3 linked regions of the Schizosaccharomyces pombe genome follow. Changing the gene in region 3 together with the main gene of any one other region gives a genetic interaction. Each region holds a gene or a part of one and is shown on either strand. Other genes may lie near its edges.

Region 1 (7,560 bases), on a different chromosome or scaffold from region 3:
CTACAAATCGCATGCAGAAAGATAATAACTTGGTCCGTCACTTACAAGCTTGTGAAACGATGGGAACAGCTACTAACATTTGCTCGGATAAAACTGGTACGTTAACCCAAAATCGAATGACTGTTGTTGCGGGTGGATTTGGCACAGATGTGTTGTTTTTTGATCATAATGATGAAACTCCTACCAACGTTGATCAGGGTTCCGATTCTTCAAAGTTCGAAGACGCTGGTGCTAGCGCATTCGCCTTTAAGCGCCTTTCCCCAGAACTTCGGGACTTAACTCTTTACAGTATTGCTGTCAATTCGACATGTCGACAGCTATTTGAGGATAATTCTGACACCCCAAGGTTTATAGGTTCTAAGACAGAAACAGCATTACTTGATATGTCAGTCAAAGAGCTGGGACTTACAAACGTCGATAGCATGCGTTCAAGCGTTGATATCAAGCAATTCTTCTCATTTTCCTCTGACCGCAAAGCATCTGGTGCTATATTTGAATACAAAGACAAGTATTACTTTGTAGTAAAAGGTATGCCGGAAAGAGTTTTGCAACAGTCTACATCAGTTATTACCAATGGCTCCCTTGACGAAGTTGAAGATATGCATTCTCATGCAGATTATTTTAAAGAAATGATCACTGGATATGCCAAAAGATCTCTTCGTACTTTAGGTTTATGCTATCGTGTGTTTGACTCTTGGCCTCCCAAAGATATTCCCACCAATGACGAGGATAGTTCTAATCCTTTGAAATGGGAAGACGCATTTACAGACATGACTTTCTTAGGATTTTTCGGTATCATGGACCCTATTCGGCCAGATGTACCTTTGGCTGTAAAGGTTTGCCAAGGTGCAGGGGTGACTGTTCGTATGGTTACTGGTGATAATATTGTTACTGCTAAGGCTATTGCTTCGCAGTGCGGAATTTACACAGAGGATGGAATATCCATGGAAGGACCGGAATTTCGATCTCTTTCTGATGAGAAACGCTTAGAAATCTTACCCAAATTAGATGTACTTGCACGCTCATCTCCTTTGGACAAACAGTTATTGATTGAAGGACTGCAGAAGCTTGGTAACGTAGTAGCGGTTACAGGTGATGGTACCAATGATGCGCCTGCACTAAAAAAAGCTAACGTCGGCTTTTCAATGGGTAAATCGGGAACCGAAGTTGCCAAGGAGGCGTCCGATATTATCCTTATGGACGACAACTTCTCGTCAATTGTGAAAGCAATTGCTTGGGGAAGAACCGTTAACGACGCTGTAAAAAAATTCCTGCAATTTCAAATTACCGTGAATATTACGGCTGTTTTCTTGACTATTATCTCTGCTGTTGCCTCGACTGACCAAAGCTCTGTTTTAACTGCTGTTCAGCTTTTGTGGGTTAATTTAATTATGGATACACTTGCTGCTCTTGCACTTGCCACTGACCCTCCTACTCCTGAAGTGTTAAAGAGGAAACCTGAGAAACCAGGTGCATCGCTTTTTACTTTTGACATGTGGAAAATGATTATTTGTCAATCTATGTACCAACTTGCTGTTACTTTGGTGCTACACTTTGCTGGTAATAGTATCTTCCATTACCCTTCCAATACTGCGGACATGAATACTATTGTTTTCAATACCTTTGTCTGGCTCCAGCTGTTTAACGAAATTAACAATCGGAGATTGGATAACAAGCTCAATATTTTTGAACGTATTAACCATAACTTCCTCTTTATTGCTATTTTCGTTATTGTTGCTGGTATCCAAGTTATAATTGTTTTTTTCGGAGGTGCCGCATTCTCCGTAAAAAGAATCGATGGTAAAGGATGGGCGATTTCCATCGTGTTTGGTGTTATCTCTATCCCACTTGGAGCCTTGATTCGTTGTGTACCAAACAATTTCCTAAGAAAGGTCCTTCCGGTTAAGACAATTGACACTGTTTTCTCTTGGATTCTAAATCCTAGGTTCCGTTCTAAGCGCCGTTCAACCGATCATGATGTTGAATCCCTTAGTCTTATCCCGTATGAACCCACATCTCCCAACGAAGTTATTGACTCTATTCGTCATTCCCTTGGCTTCGTTCAACGCATTAGAGGAGGAAGGATACGCCACCTACTCAACAACTCCAAATTTGATAAACAGATGGAAGCGCTTCCTGAACGTCTTCGTCCCCGTGTAAAACAGAGATTTATGAAGATCCGTTCACCTTCTGTTTCTTCAGCTACTAGCGTAGCTTTAATGATTCCTATCTCAACACTTGTTAGTGAAGCCAGCGGACGATTAGGTGGGCATGACATTTGGATTTCTCACAATCGCCAAGCTCTCGATAAAAAAAGCTCAAATGTTCATTAATTTAAGACGAATGTATGAGACAGAATAACAGTGATTCTATTATCGAATTTTTCTTTTTTATTTCCTTATTCTCGTTGGAAATCGCCTTCTTTTTCTATATTTGTTATCAATTAAAAGTTTGTTTCTTAGGTTTAAAAATTCCCTTTTTGTATAGAAAACGAGTCAGCTTTACCTTTTTCCTTATGTCTACTTTCTTTGTTTATCTTTATGAGTTACTTGGTTTTTGCCTATTAATGGTTTAGCCAGTTTGTTATATACCGCTTGAGCTTTAAGTTTTATGAATGAATAAAGAAAACTCCATTAATTAGAAACATGTTGTTTAACAGAAATATGAGGAAACAACGTACACGTATTTTGAAATAAAAAATGTAAACGTAACATAAAGTAAGGAATGAAATTATCGAATACTCTAGAATCAACGGAATCATCTAAAAGACAATGTGTGAGGATTAAGCATCAACACGGTTTGTTTAGTAGACTACAAAATTTTCAATTCTAAAACTCTTGGATAAAACTTGGGTATATGGTATATAATTAAGGACTTAGTTATCAAGGAGGAAAGGCTTGATGACATACTTGAAAACAGTCCTTGCATAAAGATGATAAGATTCAAAGAAAGAGAAGAAGAAAAAGAAGCTCTTTAAAAAGTAAATAAGTTATGATAATAAATAATAAAAGAAGAGCTCAACCTCATATTCAACAGAATATTTGCGTAAGAAAATTTATAAGAGCGTTCGTTAGTGACCATCATTTGTTAAAGAAGAAGACGGTTCTGATTGAAGGTCATCATCGTCCGTACGATTGACTGAGTATCGTTGACGGACGAGTTGATGAACAAAAATACTAGCCTTCAGGAACCTTTTTGAGGAGTATTTTTGGAAAAAGGCTTTGTGTTCTAGAGGCTTGTTATGATAATGAAGCATAATATACGCTATCTCCTTTAATTCATGCTCTTCATACCCACCAGAGCTTTCAACTAACTTTGGCGTCCATGGGCCGCGACGCAATAATCGGCGGCTCAAATACATTGCGGCAGCAGCAATTTTAGACATAGGATATCGTAATAAATCGTGGTCAAACAGATAAATTTCTGTTAGGTATTTCCCCAATGTCCTTGTTTGTGCATCATAACCTTCTGCTTGAGATATTTTGCGAAGAAAATTTAAAGGACTTGGATAGGACAAGTCAAAATTGAGAACATTTAACATATAACGTTCAGCGACACAGACATCTTCTACGGTAAAAGCACCATCAGTCATGTAAACAAAGTTTTGTATCGAAGGACACATAACCTCCTCATATTTGCTAGCGATGAGAAGAGCAGTAATGCCTGTTAATTGAAATTTAGACAAAGAGCATGAACGACGCGACAAGAATCGATCAATTATATTGACTGCCAAATAAAGGGTTTCGGGCATTAAACAAAAGTTGGAATGTATTTCCACCAACCATTCATTCAAAATTTCCCTCATTTTCCAGGTTAATTCTTTTTGTTGGTCCATATATTTTGGATTGGGAAGACACTTTAAATCCAGCTTTCTGATGTACTCAAATATTTCGGGTGCGTATTCCTCAGCCATCAAAGGATTGGAGGATAAATGATCATCAACATTAGAGACTCTGTCCTTTTGTAAAGTTTCTACAGATGGATCCGCATTTTTGCTATAAACTTTCAACTTTTTCACGAATTTAGATTCGACAGGTTTATCAGCTTCTTCATTTGTAGATAAATTAGATTCATCGAACGATCTTTTCGCTTTTTTCGTATCCTTCTCATCAGCATTATTTTTACCTACATTGGAAACATCAGATAGGACAGTTCGACGTGGCAGATTAATTTCAAAATTTGTAGATAATTTTGTCTTCTCAGTCCCTTTTGATAAAGCTTGTTTGCCAACAAGTGTGTTTTCATCTTGATAACTATGCTTATTGATTTTAGAACCAACAGGCTTTGAAATTGAATAGAGAGCCATATGAAATATGGATTGATAAATTACCCTTTTATCAACGTATAGAAATATATCTGATTGTTTGTAACCAAAAATGTCTTCTTTTTATTAAAATAAGGAAACTGTTTTTGGTAAATTAATCTCAATTGACAAGATGGATAAATTAGGGAAATTGAGCGATCGAGAAACAGAAAGCACTTATAGCGAATTTTTAAAGTTTCTCTTTTAAATGAGAATAAATCAATGGGTCCGAATTATTCTATTGTTGTTGATAGGAAGAAAGGGAAAGAAATCGTCCAAACATAAACAAATGAATTGTGTAAACAAACCAAACCAACCTACTGTTGTGGATATAAACGAAAAAAAAAAACAAGCAGATGTAATCAAAATTGAGAAAGAAAAAAAAGTAAAGATAAATTTTTTAACGTTCGATTCGAAAATGAATTTACCTCTTTGAGGTATGCAGAATTAACTCTTATAAAGCACAAGAGCGTAGTTTAAAGGGACAATGATTAACGAAGAGAATTAAAAAGAACACTTCTTTGTAATTAGTTTAGAAAAAGCAAAGTTGAAGGTTTGATAAACAAACGATGGATCAGAAAAAGCAGCACTAAGACGAACAATACAAGCAAATAAGTTTGATAGTTCGAATTTAAAAGAATAACAAATGTAGGTGTTATTTTTCCAGCAAGAAAAGCGAGTAAAACCTTTTCAGCTTGAGGGCGAGAGCAATGCTGAAAGGCTAAATAAATTGCAATTGGGAAGACTGTAGGATAGCAATTGTTGCACTAATATCGAAAGGGGACGATTAATTATGTTTTAATAAGATATAGTGTACTTGTTATAAGAGAAATGACTGTCTTTGGCAAGCGCCTCCTGTAAAAGAGTAGGACAATAAGCGAACCAGAACAAAGAAAACAAAGAAACTTAAAACGGTAAAGTACACAATAGAAACCGACACTTAGCAGCTGAAAAGTGTAAAAAATTAATTAAAAGAAAATAAGTACAGTAGAAATAAGATACTCCGGAGTAAAAACTAGCTTGACACTCAAAATACTGAAAGCTTAATTTACTATTGTTTACAGTTAAAACCAGCTCAACCTAGTATATGGAGCCTAAACTGATCCCTATAGCATGTATTTGAAAAAAGAAATTAGAAAGAAGGAATATTCAAAGAGAAAAGAAGAAACGCAAAAAGCAGCGACAACAAGAGAAGGACTTCAAGGTGGATCCAACCTTTGGTAGAGTCTTGTAAAAGGGAAATTACACTTGTACAAGTGCCTTTGAAGCCTTTCTTGTAACTCAACACAAGTCAAAGTGTCAGTGAAAAAGCAAAAGACAGGCATAGCAAGCATATAAAAGAAGTAAACGCGACGCGACGCGAGAAACGCGCTTTCGCGCAAGCTAAGTTGCGTGCACCTCGTTTTGGCGTGTTTTAGAGCGCGCGCTTTGGTGTAGCGTTTTGTATATTACAATTCACTATGCGCGTGCCGTCATTACATGCTACACAAACTAACGCAATTTGAATAGAATTAAAAAGGGAGAGTTCGCTAATACTTTATATCGCAGTTACACTATAATTCGCTATATGCTGAGCTTGGAAGGAATAATGTTGTTTGTCAAGAAACACAAGCATCTGTTAATAAAAGTTTGGTAAACGTCTCGTAACGTCGATAAGCCAGTACTTTATATAATCAAAGAAGAATTTTTAAATCATATCAGATAACCAATCGTAATGCTTTCTGTGAATTACACCTACCAAGACATTGTTCTGTGCAACAACATAAGCAAAATAAAACAGTATTCAGCAATAGCGCTTTAACATTAAATCTAATTTACGACATTTTTTTTAAAAAAAAAGTCAAGGAATAACAATAAGGCATAAATCACGACACTAATTTCCATTCTCTATGTCATTTGGATGGACATGAACATGAACATGATCGCTTTCAAATTGATATTGAGGTTGATCCAAAAAATAACTTCCGATAAAAATTATTTTTTCTTATAGAGCTCTTTTACATTATTTCCAACATTTTGTCATGAAAGGGCATGAACACAAAAAAGAGGAGAAACAGAATTTCAAAGCTTCATTAAAGAATATCAAGCGTACAGCAAAAAGATAATTGAATAACGTCTGATTGATATACATGGCCTGTGGTGTCAAGTTGACCAATAAACTAAAAAATGCACAAGACCGTGGTACGTTGTGCAAATTAATTTGCAATGTGGACTCAATCCTTTTTAGTAGTTTCCTCTTCACTATCCTTTGGCTGTTCAGGGGCCAAAGCATTTATTTCTTTTAGAATTTTGTGAAGCTCTCCTCTACAGACAAATTGTTAATACAGAAATGTTGACAAGGAGAAATAATTAAATATGAGAGAAAAAATGAGGGAGAGAACAATGTGGCATATATAGACGACGAATTAAAGACACTGATACACTAATAGTTGATTTTTATCCAATGCTTTAAAAGGGAAAGTTCATTTGAAGAAAGAGCGAAAATATAACAGGGTTTTTTTATCTTTAATATCAACTAGAGTGATTAAACAGTTGTAGAATCCTCCTTCATCATCTTTAACATTTCCTATGACACCTCCTCAATCCTCACCGTCTCTCTACCAAATAATAAAAATACAGTTTAAAACATTACTTACGATTTATGCATGGACGCCAAGATATCACTACCGCCCACGAATTCTCCGTTAATATAAAGTTGAGGAATCGTAGGCCAGTCGCTGAACTCCTTTATACCTTCACGTAGCTCATCATTACTCAAAACGTTGTACGTAACTAATTTATCGGAAGCAACGTTTTCTAATGAAAGAATTTGAATCGCCTTTAATGAAAATCCACACATTGGGCGGGTAGGTGTACCTTTCATGAATAAAACGATAGGATCCTCTTTGACGGCCTGTTCAAGAGCTTGACGAGTTTGTGTGGACAGCATGCGAAGTTGCATGGATATACTGGTTTTAGGAATCCAAAATCTAAACATCGAATTCATCTTGAATATGGATATTGTAAAGTGTTTATAATAAGGCAATTTTGAGCTTGAATGTCAACTCATTGATTCGCCGCAGATAAAAGTGTAAGAAGCCGTACCACGTTCTATTGCGCTATATAGAATTCTTCCAAGTCTTAAATCAGTATAATATTATAGAAAATCAGTACTTTTAGAAAAGTTTTATAAGAATATTTATTTTATTAGAAAAGTATATCGTGGGATAAAAGACTTAATATTGTACTAATCAGTTTCTGATTTCGAGAAGAACGCA
Region 2 (4,277 bases), 1.7 Mb from region 3:
ACGAAGAAGCTGTCTAATCATCAAAAGAGTATCACATGCCTTGCCATGAACTCCGAGAATACTAGACTTTTGAGTGGTGGTTTAGACGGACATGTGAAAATTTATAACATCTCCGATTGGAAAGTTGTCCATGGCATGAAATATTCTGGCCCTATTTTATCTATGGGACTTTCTCCGGATAGCTGCAATTTAGTTGTGGGTATGTCGAACGGTACATTATCGCAACGGACTCGACGTATAACCAAGCAAACGAGCTCAAAAACTCCTTTCTTAGGGGGCGTCGGAAGTGCTTTTGGTGTAGTAGGTAAAAAGAAACAAATCTATAAGGGCGAGAACGATGAATTTTATGTCGAAGAGGCTAGACGTAAAAGACTTCGTCCTTTCGACAAAGCTTTAAAATCATTTTGTTACTCTGATGCTTTGGATATGGTATTGGAGAACGGATCACCTGTTCTTATCATAACTATGCTTATTGAGCTTCTTCATGTTGGAGGGTTACGGATTGCATTGTCTAACAGAGATGATTTATCTCTTACTCCTTTGATAAACTTCTTAAGAAAATATATAAGAGACCCTCGTTTCTCCGAAACTTTATGTATAGTTACTAGCACCATTTTAGATATATACGGAGCTGCTCTTGGGGGCAGCGTAATGGTGGAAAATGCAATTTCAAAGCTTCGTGAAAAAGTTGAGCAGGAAGTAGCGGTTACTCAAAGGGCAAATGAGTTGGTTGGTATGCTTCAGATGTTGTCTGCTTGACCAATGATTATGATATCTTAATGTGCGAGTTATACCTCAATTTGTGTGTTCTAACTAGCAACCTTTACATTATCGATATGATTCACTCAGATTGTTTATTAAAAACGGCGCCTTATTTGAGATTTTTAATTACAGCAATAACTGCCACCCTTTGCCGCTGGAATTGGTAAATATCAAAAAATTTTATTCAATGTTTGGGTGTTAATTTAAAGTATTCGCAGAAAAACAAAAACTTGGGATTTATGGCAGGTTAAGTGGTCTTAAAGGAAATAATTATTTATTAAAAAAAAGTAATTTTGTAGCTTGTTAAAAAGGATAACCGGATTTCATGTACCTAGAAGAGTAAATCAACCAAAAACATAATAACAAAAGTAAATTAATGAAAGATTCCATAGTATCATAATATTGGTGATGGAAATTATATAGATCGTAAAAGATAGTAAACGTTAAACCACTGCCAGCAGTGGTGATCTTAGGCATGTCATTCGAAACATCGCCTACAATTAAGAATTTGAAAGAATAGTGATGCTAGCCTTTGTTTGCAATTCTTCAATTAATTGGGATCGCAAGTATGGTTTCCCATTAACAATCCTGCTGAATGTGACTACTTGAATATTACCAAGAAGATTGATAGTGCACCAAGCAGGCAAAGCTTTTGAAAGCAACTCAATTGCTTTGGCACACTGGTCAGGTGATAAGCTTGATGATATCGACATTTGCATGCTTGTCACAATTTCAGACATAGAAAAAGATCGTTTAGTTGGCCAAGTGGAAAGCTGAACAAAAATGAGATCAATAATGCGGACAAATGAGACCTTTTCTTTTGCTAGAGTATGAACAACTAGGTTGTTTTTAAATTCTTCAGCTTTTTTTGCTTCCATTGCTTTTTGCTTTTTACGCACGCGATCGAACAGAGAAGATTGTCTCAAAGTTAACTGAGATGATGTTAGCTTACGCGATGAATTTTGAACAGATGAAGAACTTTGATGGGATTTCAAATTGATTTTTGAATTCACTGACTTTGACAAAGTGGACGAACTGTCAAGCATGCTACACGAGACTAACTCATTAGCATATTTTGCCGTGTTAGTAGTGAATTTTGGTTCTAGAGTTTGTGTGGGAATACGTAACTCGCGACTTGTTGATTTCTCCAAATTGAGCTTTCGAACTAGTGAACTTTCATTAACAGTATTCTTGGATAGACTGGGTAAAGCTTGTAACTGTTGAGCAGGAATCTCAGTTTCAGAACAATGCTCTAACAACCATTTTTCTAGTCTCCGTTTAAATTCAATGGAGCGGGAGAAGGCTTCAGGAAGATTCGCATTGCGAGGGTATGACAGTTCATATGTTGCAACACGCTTTCCTTGATGAATAGTAAAACATGGGGTAATAGCAAATGACTCTGGCCATACGGTTAAAATCTGAGCGAGATGAGTTATTTTTAAGGAGATTTTGGTGAGACCAGAGACTTTATTTTCTAACAGCACAAAGGTTGGTTTGGTATTGATGGAGAGGTGAAATTTTACACATATGTCGACTGCATTAAAGACCTTTTCTAAGAAAAGAACTGATTCATTTTTAACTGGGGGTAAAACCTCATTTTGTTCTAAAGACTCAGTGTCCAAGTTCTCTTTCAGCCTTTTAACAGCTGGTATTATTTGAGAATCCTCAGGATTTTTGGGTGGCTCAATAATGGCCGCATTCGACCTTTTTGATGAGGATCGAGTTTTACGGACAGAGAAGTTCAATTTTGTTTGCGATCCAGCGCTCATGATTTGAACACAAAATCCAAAAATAAGGATATTGTTGTCGTGACTATATAGGGCGCGACATTTCATTTATATCGAGGGTTATATTAAATTTGAGCGTGTCGCGTTTGTTGACGCGTCGCGTAGCTATCGTGTCGCGCTTGCTAACTAGTTCACATTTGTCCGACTAATCAGTTTATGTCTTACTTAGCCTATATGATTCAGTAGATTATATTGAATAAATAAGTTCCAACACTTGTACAAAATTCACAAAACAATTTTTTAACTACAGCTTTTCATTTTCCGAAGTTTTTATAGAATCTCTTATACGAGTTTAAAATTATTACAGGATGCATCGTTATATAAATTTTGAATAACTCCTTTGCTCTGCGAGATATTATTGAGTTGTTCGTTGTCGAAATTTTCAATAATATGTTACATGTCACAATGATTTCTGTATAATAAAGGTGTTGCACCAAGTTCAGGCTCTCTGAAAACAAACTTGTGTCAAATAGCCACTCGTCCACTTATGGTCTTCCATAAGTTGTACGAATTCAAAACTTTTAGTTAACTTTTTTACTATCAGTGGATAAGTTGCTATAATAAATGAATAAAAAGATGCCCTGTATGATTTCTATCGACTAAGTCTTTTCTATTTATACTGGGTAGAGTAACAATGTGACTCAAATATCTATAAGGACCGATTGAAATCAACCAAGTACAAATAGAAAAACGATTCTAAAATTACTGAGTATAAAAAACGAATTTCTCATCAAGGACCCTATTTTCTTTTTTCTTTGCTCAAGAAGTTATTAAGCTCTATTTTCGAAGGTTTTCACTCACTCGACAAGCTACATTGTGAGTTGGTACGACCGTGTTCCTCCATTTTTGTAAAGAATCGATGTCAAGCCAGGCGGATTGAAGAAACCTTGAAATGAAAAGAGGAAAATGTAAGGAAAAAGATAATGGTTTGAAGAGAATTTCTTCGGAATCGGAAGTTTGGAACTTTTTAGACGTGACAGTTTCAGAGTTAAACAAGCAAAAGCGCTCGCCAGGACAGACCGTGTCTAAACGACTGCATAAAAAGCAAAGGGTCGTTAGTAATCCTGATTTGAGTTTACCGTCTTCACCGGTAAAACAAATTTTAAGAAATGGACTTCAGAATTCAAAGTACGGTTCTCATAAGACAGGACTGGAAAGGTCCGCGAGCTGTAGTAGTATTGATGCTTCCGCAAACCATTCTTCCACTACCTATCGGGAACAAAGATCGTATTTGATGGAGGAAGGATTAGATACTCAGCCAATTGTACCCCGTGAAGTATCCTCTGGTCGAGAATTGGATTCAACCAACCATACTATTGGTACAGAACGTGCTTTTTTGATAGAGGAAGACGTATCAGAAGATGATGAAATTCAAATGAAAAGTATACATGAACTTCGCTTTGCTGGAGAGCAGCAAAGGATCGTTGATGAAATTGAATACTTAGTGGACGGAGTGACTTTCTCAGGTAACTCTTCTGCTTCTCGCTATTTGAGTTTAATAGGAATCGCTGAAAAAATGTTTGACAATTCATTTCGTTTATGCTTAAAGTCGATACGGGATGTCTTCTTGCGAATATTTGAAGAAATTGATCCTAAAGATACTTTACACACTTTTTTGCAGATTTATATATTTGCAACTATGGCTAATGAAATGGATTGCATGAGTTCCTTGCTTGATGCTTACTCAAACAATGTTAAACTTCTTTTGCAAACGGCTATTACTTTAGA
Region 3 (5,945 bases):
CTTGTGTCGATTGGGCTCCGAAATCCAATCGAATCGTAACTTGCTCTCAAGACCGTAATGCCTATGTTTATGAGAAACGTCCTGATGGGACTTGGAAGCAGACCCTCGTCTTACTTCGTTTGAATCGTGCCGCTACGTTTGTTCGTTGGTCGCCTAACGAGGACAAGTTTGCTGTTGGTAGTGGTGCTCGTGTCATTTCTGTTTGCTACTTTGAACAAGAAAATGACTGGTGGGTCAGCAAACATCTGAAACGTCCGCTTCGTAGTACCATTTTGTCTTTGGACTGGCATCCTAATAACGTTTTATTAGCTGCCGGCTGTGCAGACCGTAAGGCATACGTTTTATCTGCTTATGTTCGTGATGTCGATGCCAAACCAGAAGCCAGCGTTTGGGGTTCACGTTTACCTTTCAACACTGTTTGCGCTGAATACCCATCTGGTGGTTGGGTTCACGCCGTTGGATTTTCACCTTCGGGTAATGCCTTAGCGTATGCTGGCCATGATTCTTCTGTTACGATTGCATATCCCAGTGCTCCCGAGCAACCCCCACGAGCTCTAATTACTGTCAAATTATCTCAATTGCCTTTGCGTTCTCTTCTTTGGGCGAATGAGAGTGCCATTGTGGCTGCTGGCTATAACTATTCTCCTATTCTTTTGCAAGGCAATGAGTCCGGTTGGGCCCATACTCGCGATTTGGATGCCGGAACTTCCAAGACCTCATTCACTCACACAGGAAATACTGGTGAAGGTAGAGAGGAAGAGGGTCCTGTTTCATTTACTGCTCTTCGTAGCACATTCCGTAACATGGATTTGAAGGGCTCCAGCCAGTCTATTTCGTCTTTACCAACCGTTCATCAAAATATGATTGCAACCCTTCGACCTTACGCTGGGACTCCTGGCAATATTACTGCGTTTACCTCCAGCGGTACCGACGGACGTGTTGTTTTGTGGACTCTTTAGAAAAGATATCGGCAAATGAATCTTATCAAATCAATTATCGAATTTCCGTAGATGTTAATCTCATAGAATAAAAGAATTGAACAAGCTTTAGCTAGATATAGTAACTGTTATTCCGCAGCTTATATGATTACTATGTCGTCTTATAAATTTTTGTCAATCATATTCAGTTTTGTGTATATATTTTTTCTTAGAGACCCCAAAATTGAGAAGTGCTTTTGCTACGTAAGTTTACTTATACCACCACTTGAGACTGAACCACGGGTATGCGTTCTTACGAATAATCATTAGATATAACTTAGATTAAAGTGTTTATTAATTGTATAGTTAGTAAAATTAGTAAAGATCAACCTGAAAAGTTTAAACACCAAGTTGGATAAATAATATTGTTCAAATTTATGTAATCCAAACAACGAAATTGAAAGGATGTTCTAATTTGATCCTTTCGGCAAAATTTGAAAACCGTAACGCGTGAAATAAAAATATAATGAATAGAAAAAAAGAATGAGAAAGAAATGATAGTACTATCTTCTGTCAAAAAATCGTTTTAAGGTACCAATGTCTCCAACAGCTGTAATGACATCCATTTCTGGAACAAGCAAACTAATGATTCGGTCCTGAGGCTTTCCGTTACGCTGCTTCGTGCGCAAACGAATGATTGCAAGAGTTTCTAAAGAATTCGCGACATCGCAAAATTCCGAACTTGTTAATGGATAAATCAAACGATCTCGAAGACACAAAGAACTGTATTTTTCAAATACATCGGCAACACTCAATGAGGTTTTTTCACAAACAACAAGCGTACAAAGGATGGCTTTCTGTTGAAGACCAAGGTTTTTTAAACGAGCACTAGCAGATTGGCTCATAGCAGATGTCGCTCGGACAACATGAGCAATTGATGCTCTTGGTATATCAACAGAAGATAATGTGTTGTCATGTTGAGCTTTCCATTCTCTTTCCGCAAGTTCAATTGCATGCCTACATATGTCTAATGCTTTTCTCAAGTCACCACTTGAAGCTGCAACTTTCCGGGCACATAATTCAATTGCAGCAGGATGTATAAAAGGTGTTTCATCAGCATGCTGAGATACAACATTTATACTATCATCGCTTACTTCAGAGATTGATTTAATAGGAGTAAAAGGATTGTTTTTTTCTGATGTGGTAGCGGCGGTTTTCAAACGCGCTTTTATAATTGTTGAGATTTCTTGAGCAGTATAAGGCGTAAAAGAGAGTAATTTGGGAGTAATATGCTTTGTTCGTAAACGAGGGAGAAATCGATCTGTCATGTCTAAGGCATTTGCAATGCCTACCAAAATTAATCTCGAAGTCGGTCGAGAGGGCCATTCAAAAAGCGTGTACAGAACCTGCTGTTCGCGAGCAATCAAGTGATCCATTTCATCTAAAACAATAATGACTGGGTTATATAATTCATTGGCGGACTGGGTGAAATGCGACTCTAGTTCACATTGGAAATTGATGTGATGATCTTCATTTTCTAAAATTTCCTCTTTAACAATTTTAGAGTGAATTTTTTCAAAAATTGCTTTTGGTTCATTAATAGTCATACAATTAATGTAACAAACATTAACTTTGGGATAATCGCTCACTACATGATCCAGCACGTTGTGAAGCAGAACGGTCTTTCCTGTGCCAGGGGCACCACTTACGTACAATGCACCTCCAGCATTAGCATCAAGATGTTGACGAAAGAAAGATTCCACAATTGACTTCTCATTTTCACGACCCACGACTCCTGCTGAACGATATGATTTACGTAAACTCAATTTGGCAGTAGAATTATAGGACGGAGTGGAGGGTGTCGAAGGAGTGGGAGGAAAAAGTTGACGGTGAGGTGTCGATTGCAAAAGGCGAGTAGCAAATGGAACAGGATTACATGTACGATTTAATGATTTGGGTGTAACAATTTGAATGGTCCTTTTGGGGGTTTTAGGAGTTTGAGGTGTTGTGGGTAATTTAGGTTTCTTATTCTCCTTTAACTGAGCAGGAAAATTAGGATAAAGGTCAGTTTTCTCCTCTTGCAGTTCTCCTAGTTCATATTTTATTCTTTTTGTGGGTGTTTGGAAATGTGAGCTAGCCAGCGTACGTTTTCTGCTGGGTGTAGTCGGAATCTCTATTGAAAAGGAAGGTGAATGCTCCCTTTGATTAGTTTTGTTAGTACAGTCAATCAAGGCTGCAGAATCTATAAAACGATTGCATCTTCGAGGTGTATGACAACCTATTGGAGTTTCACACATATCGATACTTTATAGTAACCCCGTTTACTAATTATGTTATTTACCAATAGACAAGTCAGGTAAATTTGATAAAAGGGCTACTAAGTAATATTAACTTCGTGCTTGGTGTTTAAGTTTTGTTTAAGAGCAGATATGTCTTTTATAAATATACGCGACGCGACACGTAAACGCGAAATCTAATTAATCACGAAGAGTAAATGAGATGTCGCGTTCAACTCTACGTGTCGTGTCGCGTTCTACGCGCGAACCTTTTTACTCTATAAGTTTATATTCAGGTAATGATATTATTTTATAACGACTCATCCTCAAAGATATGAAATGCCTTCTCATATTCCAATTTAGTTACGACGTTAGTAAAATTAAAGTAAAAGACCCTAAATTCTTTTAATAAATTAGAAAATCTTTTTTCAATTATCCCTAAAGATAACAGAGGTCCCACGAACGAATTTTTGATGGACCATACCATCTTTGGTGCTAATGGCCAATAAAGCAAACAGCATTTCGATTAAAGAAAAGTAAACCTCTTACAATGTTCACTAAAATTGAATTTCATAGCAAAGTTTCCTCTAGTTTAGAATGCAAGTGAACACTTTAAGCTAGTTTAACAAAAGGAAGATGAGAATTTTGGTAATTATCCAAAAGAATAAACTAAACATAAACCCCAAATTACATGCCCAATCCCTTTTTTGTTCCTTTGTGTAAAACACCGTGCATATATTGTTGTTCTAGTTCTTTCTCTCTCTGCTTGTCATTTGTTTTATTAGATTGAGCAGACGGAGACGATTCAGTGATGGATGCAGCATTTTTTATACCCAACATTTTTAAAAATTTTGATTTTCGTTGATTTCCACCAGACAAACTCGCTGCAAGCCAGTAGTCAGTGTTTCCCTTATCCTGACTCCTACTTAACGAGTTTTTCATTTGATCATGATCATTTTCAGCTACGTTTTTTACTTTTCAGTGTTAACGAGCATTTACTGTTAATGCTTAATATACATACCCATAGGATCCTCCGCTAGAGTTTTGGTGTTTTTTATACTCGATCTTTCCCTTTCCTCTTTCCTGATACTATGTTAGAGTGGGAAGTAGTGATTTAATAAAAAGCATTAAAAAACATACTTAAGCTTTTTAACTTTATGCTTTAGCTTTTTGTATTGTTTTAACTCTTTTTCATCTGAACACTCATGTTAATGAAATTTAAAGAAACTTGCCCAACATACCGAGTTTTTTTTTTTCCTTTGATGAAAGCTTTCGAAAAGTAGAAACATCTGTTCCAAAAGGATGGATTTGCTTATCCTTCTTTGAGGATTTGGAGCTTCCCATTTTTTTTTTAGACCGTGGCGTTGGTGGAATTCCAATAGAGATAAAATCGTAAACAAATGAGCCAAATAAGCAATACCCTTAGACAGCTCGGAGTTTTATCTTTTTTCGTAAAAAAGTTTATGGATCTGAATACATTTCTAAACATTATAGTTAAGCTGCATATAGCCATCTATTGAGTACCAAAAATCTGTTCCGTTTTTGGAAAACATCTAGATAGATCGGTTGGCAATCAATTATTCTTCTTTTTCTACATCTTTTATGATCTTTGATGCTTCCTTGTGGTCCACTGAAGCTTCTGATTCAATTGTCTCAGGCGTCTCAACGGAAATAGCTGATGACGCTTTCATAGAAGGGACATTCACATTAGGTTCTTTAGCATTAGTCATTTTCTCTTCTAATTTATTTACTTCTTTTTTTTTATCTTTTTGATTCTTTTCCTGTAGTTCGGATCGCAAAGAAGATATCATACTGTTTCTGCTCTGCAACAACATATCAAGAATTTCAAGACTTTTTCCGTGATAGTCAACTTCATGAAGTAAGGGTCTATTTAGAGTTTTCCTTAAAAGATTAACAGTTTTGTCTTTAGCGGTAATTTGTCGTATTCTCTGATCCAACAGTGAACTTGATCTTGACGAACTTTGGCGGAGTAGACCTGTCTCCGTCCTCAGGAGTTGCTTTTTTCTTTCTTCCTCTAGTACTGATTTGTATTTATCAATTGACTGTTTGGCTGTATGGTGATATGCTGAAAGCGAACAGGACCCAGCAATTGTCCTCCATACCATCGGACGCAAACGACCATTCCATAGACATCTTCTTTTCGCAACACGTTTAGAAGCTTTTGTCCTGAGTATTCTTCCCCGTCATCATTAAAAGCCTCTATCTCATTGGGAAAACGCCAAGCTTGCATTTTATGATTGCAATGCTTTAAGTCGGCAGATTCTTGAAACATAAATCTATATACTGGGAGCATTTTTGGATCTTTAGACGGGACAAAGTAAGATAAAAATGTTGATTCTCTATCTGTAATTAAATTGGACATATAGGAGCATTCTTGTAAGGATTGCTTAGGAACCGCTAATGAGATCCCTTCATTGCCAAATTTAAGTTGAGATTGGCGCTTGTTCATATCATATCAATTCTTTCTTTGGAATAGTGGAATTAAATTTAAAAACTATGAGAAAAACATTGATTTAATTCAATTTCAAATCAGATTACGGCAAGGTGCACTTGTTGAGTTGGATGGTCCCATGAAAATTGCATTACAATCTCAATATAGATTACACTTTCAAGATTTACAAACTATTTTTTTTATCGATTTACGAATTTCTGAACGTATGGTTAGCTCGAAAATCCCATTTTGGTCGAAGCAAACGATGCAAATAGATACTAGGTAGATAATGGTAAACAC

Evidence for each region. A genetic interaction does not mean that the proteins touch.
Region 1: of cdc18 (region 3) and cig2, a mutation in one rescues a mutant of the other (synthetic rescue), as found in Schizosaccharomyces pombe (3 studies listed by BioGRID).
Region 2: of cdc18 (region 3) and cdt1, changing one enhances a phenotype caused by changing the other (phenotypic enhancement), as found in Schizosaccharomyces pombe (3 studies listed by BioGRID).

Annotation. Positions count from the first base shown.
Region 1 is NC_003424.3:2,707,826-2,715,385, reverse strand, and holds cig2 (G1/S-specific B-type cyclin Cig2), read right to left. Parts: upstream 5,605-7,560; 5' UTR 4,307-5,604; coding exon 3,071-4,306; 3' UTR 2,334-3,070; downstream 1-2,333. Other genes in the region: P2 type calcium transporting P-type ATPase Pmc1, read left to right, coding at 1-2,333; mitochondrial [2Fe-2S] cluster assembly and transfer glutaredoxin Grx5, read right to left, coding at 6,517-6,607, 6,940-7,289. UniProt on the Schizosaccharomyces pombe protein: Essential for the control of the cell cycle at the G2/M and G1/S (mitosis) transition. Interacts with the cdc2 protein kinase to form MPF. Interaction with res2 promotes the phosphorylation of res1 and inhibits MBF-dependent gene transcription.
Region 2 is NC_003423.3:475,685-479,961, reverse strand, and holds cdt1 (DNA replication licensing factor Cdt1), read right to left. Parts: upstream 2,571-4,277; 5' UTR 2,532-2,570; coding exon 1,263-2,531; 3' UTR 1,224-1,262; downstream 1-1,223. Other genes in the region: U3 snoRNP protein Utp15, read left to right, coding at 1-759; wpl1 (WAPL family protein), read left to right, coding at 3,442-4,277. UniProt on the Schizosaccharomyces pombe protein: DNA replication licensing factor, required for pre-replication complex assembly. Faithful duplication of the genetic material requires 'once per cell cycle' DNA replication initiation and elongation.
Region 3 is NC_003423.3:2,214,660-2,220,604, forward strand, and holds cdc18 (MCM loader), read right to left. Parts: upstream 3,326-5,945; 5' UTR 3,215-3,325; coding exon 1,481-3,214; 3' UTR 1,296-1,480; downstream 1-1,295. Other genes in the region: arc1 (ARP2/3 actin-organizing complex WD repeat subunit Sop2), read left to right, coding at 1-959; protein tam10, read right to left, coding at 3,881-4,167, 4,215-4,276, 4,334-4,388, 4,435-4,537. UniProt on the Schizosaccharomyces pombe protein: Part of the checkpoint control that prevents mitosis from occurring until S phase is completed. Plays a key role in coupling S phase to start and mitosis. Acts at the initiation of DNA replication and plays a major role in controlling the onset of S-phase.